Linked DNA regions of Ovis aries. The protein of the gene in region 1 purifies or fractionates together with the protein of each later gene. This does not show direct contact. Links are inferred from orthologs where the notes say so. Each region holds a gene or a part of one and is shown on either strand. Other genes may lie near its edges.

Region 1 (3,053 bases):
GAGGAATTATGTACAGATGAAGTATTGGGCAGTGCCATCGGCCATGGGTGGGAAGCCCCTTCCTGGCAGGGATGGTCCTCAGTCCTGTGCCTGAGCCTGCCGCTGCTTCCCCCCTAGGTATGCAGTGCTTTGTGGTCAGCTGGCTGAGCATGAGGGCATCCAGAGGCGCATCCAGAGTGGCTTTAGCTTCAAGGTGAGAAAGGCTTCTCTTCCTTCCCTGGTGCTGGTCTAGTGCAGGTGACCTGCTCCAGCCTAGCTCTTTGCAAAGGTGTTCCTACCCTATAGCTCTGTGACTTGCCTTTCTTCCCTTAGTAACTCTGCTTTCTGATGTTAACTTGTTTATATTTCCACTCTAGGAACATGTGGACAAAGCCATTGCTCTCAAGCCAGAAAACCCCATGGCTCACTTTCTCCTCGGCAGGTGGTGCTACCAGGTGAGCTAGATTTCAGGGCTTGACACAAGGGCCCCTCCTGAGACACTGATCACCTTGCAGGGAAGATCAGGGTCCTCAACATGGTCTGGCTTGTGTCACTGCCTCCAAACAGTCATGGTAGTGGTGATTAGATGCAGTCCTATTTGGCTCCTTTTTCTCTCAGTAAAGAATATTCATTGTTCTTAAAGATACTTAAGTTTTTAGTTACACCTTGATCTTTTGATGGCAGGTCTCTCACCTGAGCTGGCTAGAAAAAAAAACCGCGACAGCCTTGAGTGAAAGCCCCCTTGGTGCTACTGTGCAGGATGCCCTCTCAAGCTTCCTAAAGGTATCAGGGAGGGAAGGGAAGGGTGGACAGCAGCCAGAAAGGCCAGGGTGACCTTGTTTTCCCTAAGGACATTAGTATATTGGGAGGGGTTTCTGGTAGAGGGCAGTTTTATGTGTGCCCATTCTGTGGAAGATTAGAAACCACTGGAAGGGCTTATTAAAAAAAAATGTAGACTCACTGAATCAATCTCCAGGTTGGATACTGGAACTCTAATAAACTTTAGCCTGACTTGGATTTCGGAACCTCTTACTGAAATGCATTCTCTGTTCTCTAGGCTGAAGAACTACAGCCAGGATTTTCCAAAGCAGGAAGGATATATATTTGTAAGGTAAACTCATCTGCCAGTTTCAACATAGATGAAATATATGCATGTTGCCATTTTTTCTTGAAAGCATACACTCATTCCCTTCTAGTCTTCTGGTGGTATTTCTCCGAGGTTTTCACTGTTGTCTCTTCTCAGTGCTACAAAGAACTAGGGAAAAACCCTGAAGCTAAACAGTGGATGAAGCTGGCCCTGGAGCTGCCAAATGTCACTAAAGAGGTAATACTTAAGAGCTTTTCAAACACAGGGTCCTTTCACTGAGTCATCACGGGACTTTTCAGGAAAGAATATATTCCCGTGGTTCCTATTTCCCTCCAAAAGAGAGCTGCACTTTGCATGTGGGCTTGTTCATATACATCTCACCTGGGGAGGAGACAGTTCGTAGGTTCCAGGTTGTCCTGGGAAGGTGGGAAAAAGACTGGTAATAGCAAGGAAGCAAAGGGCCCATTCCCAGGTACCCATGGTTTAGGAAATGTTGGCTTGGATTTAAAGTCCTAGTCTTATTCTCTTGTCTTCCTAGGATTCAGCTTTCCAGAAGGACCTGGAAGAATTGGAAGTAATTTTAGCAGAATAATCACATTTCAATGGGCTTCATGATTCGAGGAAGGAAAAAAATTAAGTCTTTTCCCCTTAGGTCCTGCTTAGATCAGGAAACTGAGCAAGACTGCTTAAGGGCGTCTGACTGCTGCTTGCTACAATTCCCCAATTTCTTCCTACTGGTTAATTTATTCTAATCCCTTACCTAATCTGAAATTGGGGAAGTACTTGAGACCTGGGTTTCTATTACTTTTTCCATAAAGTGAGTTCTCAAAAAATCAAGACTAGTATACACCTGCCCTAGGGTAGAGTGTGGATAAAACACTGAAGGCTGCTTTTCAACTGCTGCTGAGGTGGATGAACTCCAAAGAGCTATAGGAACAAAACAGAATGTGTACGCTCTAATCTTTTTCACTGATTAATATTCAGAACCAAAGTGTATAGTCCTAAGATCACACACCCCAACCTACCAGGGCGGAAGATCGGGGAGTCCATGGGTATTGCCTCTGCTCAGTCTATCATGTGGATCGTAACTGTACTCCTGGGCTGAGGGCTGGACCACCTGACTTCCAGAGTCCTGGCAGCTTTTGAAATAGCACTGCATAAGGCTTAGGACTGAAAATGATGATCTGAAGAGTTGCCTGGAATATATTTTGGTACAAACTTGAAATAAATCCAAAATTTAAACTTAACTAGAAGTGATTATAATTCCCTTTCTATGTTTGTTTTCATCTCCTTTTTCTTTCTTGGGACTTAAATAATTGTTTCCTACTGTGAGGCTATTGCAGACAAGTAGAAAAATAGTACCAAATAGTTTAGAATAAGCTCTTTGGTTAAAAATTGAGACAAGTTTTTAGGTCAAGGTCACTTAAAGTACTTTATAGGTCTAAAAGATTGAGATGCTTTCATATAAGAACCAAGCTTTCATTCCAGAGTCTGTCACTGGGTTTATTACATCATTCCAGGTTTGTTTTGTGATGGAAAAAAATGGAAGAAGACTTAGGAGGCACTCTGGTCTATAGTCAGGGAACAACTGTTTTAAAACAAAGTTGCATTAAATTTTGTCCTCCTATCTCCTTACATATAGTAGGCTCAAAAGAGGCAACAGCCGAGATTTGCACGGCCTCTCCACCCAGTTCTAGCCAAGAGGCCCTCTGAAAGTGGAAGAGTTGCTTAAAGCTCATGCTGAGGAGAAGTGAAGGGGAAGGAGTATCTCAAAGCCCTAAAAAGCAGAATAATCTGGGCAAGTACCAGATTTATACAGTACAAACCTTAATAGAAACAAAGGCCACAGGAATGCTATGGAGTAGCTATCTTGCTATATTTTCTATGAGTTTAAAGGAGAATAAAGGGAATCACCTGAAGGTGGGACTTCCCCTTTACATTTTCAGTTTTAAAGTAATAGAAACTGATCATTCCTTCCCAGAGCCAA
Region 2 (3,819 bases), on another chromosome or scaffold:
ACATCAGGGCTTTCTCATTAAGCGTATTTTTCTGAAATTGTCAGTTATAGGAAGAAAATCATTCTTCTAGCAGCTTTATAATATCCTGATTATTGAATTTAAATTGTTTTAGTGGAAGGAGGCAAAACCGGAAGACCTTATGGATTCAAAACTTAGATGTGTGTTTGAATTGCCAGCAGAAAATGATAAACCAGTAAGTATGTTTATAGTTAACAATAATTGAATGTTGCAAGCTGATACTTATTTGCATACCATCTCCTGCAAAACCAAGATTTAAGTTGGCAAATTATTTTCCTTCTTCTGATGTATGAAGAGAAAAATTCGCTGAAGTCAACAAATAAGTGGGCCTTTGTGAAATCTGCCTTTGAAAGATTCACAGAAAGAACTCATTGAAATTTTTTTTGCCTTTGAAAAGCACAACCTGTTGACTGTTGAAATGTCATAAATTCCGAAGAGCTTCTTTGACTTGGGCAAAGTTCTAGGTTGCTATTATATTTAACAGTGGGAAAGACGGTGAGCGCTCAGCTCCTCTTGTACAGTGCTGTCTGCAGGCTTCCCTGTCTGCATTTCTCCTGAGCACCAACTCTCCACCTCTTGAACCCCAGATTCTCTTCAGTCAAAATGTGCTTTTAGATGAGGATTTCTCACCCTTAGCCCTGCTGACTTTCGGGCCAGGAGTCCTTCGCTATGGTGCTGTCCTGTGCCTTGCAGGGTGTGTTGTGGCATCCTTGACCTCACCCCAGTAGCATCCCTGGTCGTGATGACCTGAAGCGTCTCTGGATGTTGCCAGGTATGCCCTTCCCGAGGCAGAGTCAGTTCCCGTTGAGAATCACCCTTTTTGCTGCCTGAGCACTGAGGGTAAGGAGTGACTCCCTCCCAGCTGCTGGCTCACTTTTCTCTGTGTGAAACCAAAGCATGAGCCCGGTTGGCATGAACCTCCCTTCACCCTAGTCAAAAAACTTAAACTGTGTTAACACAGTTTAAAACCCATGCAGAGTATTAAACCACCCTGGCTGTTAATAGCTGGTGGTGGGAATAGAAATGTTCAAACTCTCAACGTTATCCATAACAATCTCCAGGAATGCTGATGCTTTGTGTCAAAACTACTTAGCATTTTTTTTCTGCTCACTAATGGACCACCGTCACTATCCCATTTCTTCGAATGATTGGTGGTCTTCGTTCCTTTTTTCCCTTCCCTCTTCCCACAGCATGTTCTGTCAGTTGTGGATAGTTGAGGACTGTATTCTGGCCCCAGCTGTGCTCTTGGAGGTTAGCTCTGTGTGTTGAGGTCTTGCTTGCCAGGGCCTCACTCCTCTCCCCTGGGAGACTAAGGGTAGAGCTCGCTGTTCTCCGTTTGCTGCATGGACCCCCAAGGGCTTCCATGCTTCCCCGGCCCCCACATACTCACTCATCCCCAGTAGGTCTTCAGAGGGGATCACAGCGCAGTCGTGGCTGGGGAAGTGAGGAACACATTGCCTCCCCAGGATGAAATACCATAGACACTGAATTTGTTGCACCTTCATCCCATCGCTGCAGTTGTCTTAAGTTCAGGAGACAAATCACCCTCTGGGTTACGTCCCCTCTGGCCTTCTGCCCCCGCCCAGCCAGTTTGGGGGATGTTCGCGTCTTCATAGTGACTTGTGGCTGATGATTCCTGAGCTTGTGCAGCTATGCTCTGCTGATTTTTCATGGCAGGAATTTGATAGTGCAGTGCGCACAGCCCCTTTTCTCTTTCTTTGAAGTATTAGTCTCAGCCGGACTTCATTATTTGCCCTCATCCATAATTTCTGGAGCCCAGTTTTAGATTATGAAGATACTAGGTGATAAAGTGATCTGTTTTAAAAAAATGTGACATTGTACAGTTTGGATGAAACGCTACCCTGGGTGGTGTCTGCTGAGACCTACTTTACTTTGCATGAAGAAGTCCTTTAATACGTGGTTGGTGACACTTGGGCTTTCATTTATTTCTGAACAGCATGATGTAGAAATAAATAAAATTATACCCACAACTACATCAAAGACAGAAACACCAACGGTGTCTAAAGCTCTGAGTTCCTCCTTGGATGACACTGAAGTTAAGAAGGTGATGGAAGAGTGTAAGAGGCTGCAGAGCGAAGTCCAGAGGCTGCGGGAGGAGAACAAGCAGTTCAAGGTAATGGCATTTTGTTTCCTGATCGTCTTCAGGGAATTGGGGCTTTGCTACTATGGTCTTGGGTGAGGAGGTTGATGCAATTTGTGGAGTTGTCTTGTATTTGCACGTTTTTCCTCCAGGCTGAAGTTTCCTAAGGTTCTCAAAACAATCCCTGGACACATGCCTACGTGCATCCCAAAGTAAGAACCAGTGTCCCTTGAGCAGTATTTTTTCAACTATTTAAACTCCTGTCTCCTCATAAAATGACAACAGACAAATAAAAAATCCATTAGTGTAAATTGAAATTAAAAAAACAACAATGGTTATCTTGAGTTCACATTTTCAAGCCCCTTTTCCATCCCCATTGGATGAGAATCTTTTTGAAGAGAGTAAAGACTGACGTGTATTCTGTTTTAAGGCAATCATCATTCTGATTTTTGAATATCCTAAATAGGTCTAGCAGTGGGGTCTCATCCTCTATCAGTATGGTCCGGAGACTGGAGCTGGGATGCTGTCACATCCATGGGGGAGATTACAGGGAACCAGGGGCTCCAGCTTGTGGCCCTGGACCTGGCGAGTGGCCTGGCGCTGGGGGGTGAGGTCGCACTGGTGCTGGAGCGAGGCAGGTGTGCTCCTCTTGGCTTTGGAGGCCTGCGGTAGTGTGGAAATGACCAGCCAAACTTGGACTCACTGTGTAACTTTGTCCATCACAGCGGCTTCTGGCCTCTGTTTGCAAGACCCTGTTAAGGCCCTTCCAGTGTTGAAAGTATGCCTTTCATACACAGGGTTAAAGAGAGTGTTTCTGAACATCTGATTGTAGGATCTTTTGTTGCAGCTTAAGTCTTGAGGCTGATCTGTTCTTTTCATCTTGATCATGTCCCCAGCCACCATAGACTGTCACTCCCTGACTGCGTAGCACCAGGTACACACCATAAATTCACTGCAGGTGACTCTTCCTTCTGTTACTCTGATGAGGTAGGAGACATGGGGGGCCAACGGGGTTTAGAAAGTGGCATCCTTGTCTTTCTCTGCAGTAATCATGCTTTGCCTCATTCAGTGACTGCTGTTGGTATGGAGTAAATTATGAGGCTGACACTCTACTTTTGGCTAAAAGTCTAAGATACGCCTAAAGCTTCTTCTTGAATGTATTTCTCTTCTTTGCCATTTAAAGTGATAAATAGGTGGAAATAGCTTCTATATAAACCCAATAAAATAAATGCTGTACTTTGCTGTGCCCATTTTTTTTTTTTTTGAAGTTAATCGAATAGCACCAGTCATTTATCAGCATGCAGCAATATTGGCCATGCCCCTCAAGCAAAGTGTCTTTAAAATATTATCAGACCAGTCTTGACATTAGAAGATTCTTTATCTTGCCAAACAAGGATTTCTTGTTTTGTGTTGTTTCATACTTTCATTTGGCCACACATTTGCTAAGACCCTCCTGTGTGCCCAGCACTGTGGGATACAGACGTGGGTGGTCCCTGCCCTTAAAATAAGCCCCAGGGTAGCCGGGGAGACACAAATACTGAACCAGTCCCACAGAGGTGGCCATGAGTGTTGTGAGGGGTGGGCTTAAGGTGCTGGCTGCCTCTTGTCATCAGATCTGTCAGACACTTGATTAGTGTGAACGAACTGAAGGAGAAGAGAAGAAAGTGCAGCTGTTGTGGAGGGTGTCAGGGGTGGATTGA

Evidence for each region.
Region 2: the proteins of RMDN3 (region 1) and VAPB purify together in Homo sapiens (affinity purification with mass spectrometry; 4 studies listed by BioGRID and IntAct, counting the BioPlex papers as one, with this or other methods). This does not show direct contact. The link is inferred for Ovis aries from reciprocal best matches to the Homo sapiens genes RMDN3 and VAPB.

Annotation. Positions count from the first base shown.
Region 1 is NC_056060.1:34,496,372-34,499,424, reverse strand, and holds the end of RMDN3 (regulator of microtubule dynamics protein 3), read left to right. Parts: exon of another isoform or gene 1-117; coding exon 118-193; exon of another isoform or gene 194-356; coding exon 357-434; exon of another isoform or gene 435-663; coding exon 664-762; exon of another isoform or gene 763-1,036; coding exon 1,037-1,303; exon of another isoform or gene 1,304-1,604; coding exon 1,605-1,658; 3' UTR 1,659-2,313; downstream 2,314-3,053.
Region 2 is NC_056066.1:57,609,226-57,613,044, reverse strand, and holds part of VAPB (vesicle-associated membrane protein-associated protein B/C), read left to right. Parts: intron 1-112; coding exon 113-193; intron 194-1,975; coding exon 1,976-2,152; intron 2,153-3,819. UniProt on the Homo sapiens protein: Endoplasmic reticulum (ER)-anchored protein that mediates the formation of contact sites between the ER and endosomes via interaction with FFAT motif-containing proteins such as STARD3 or WDR44.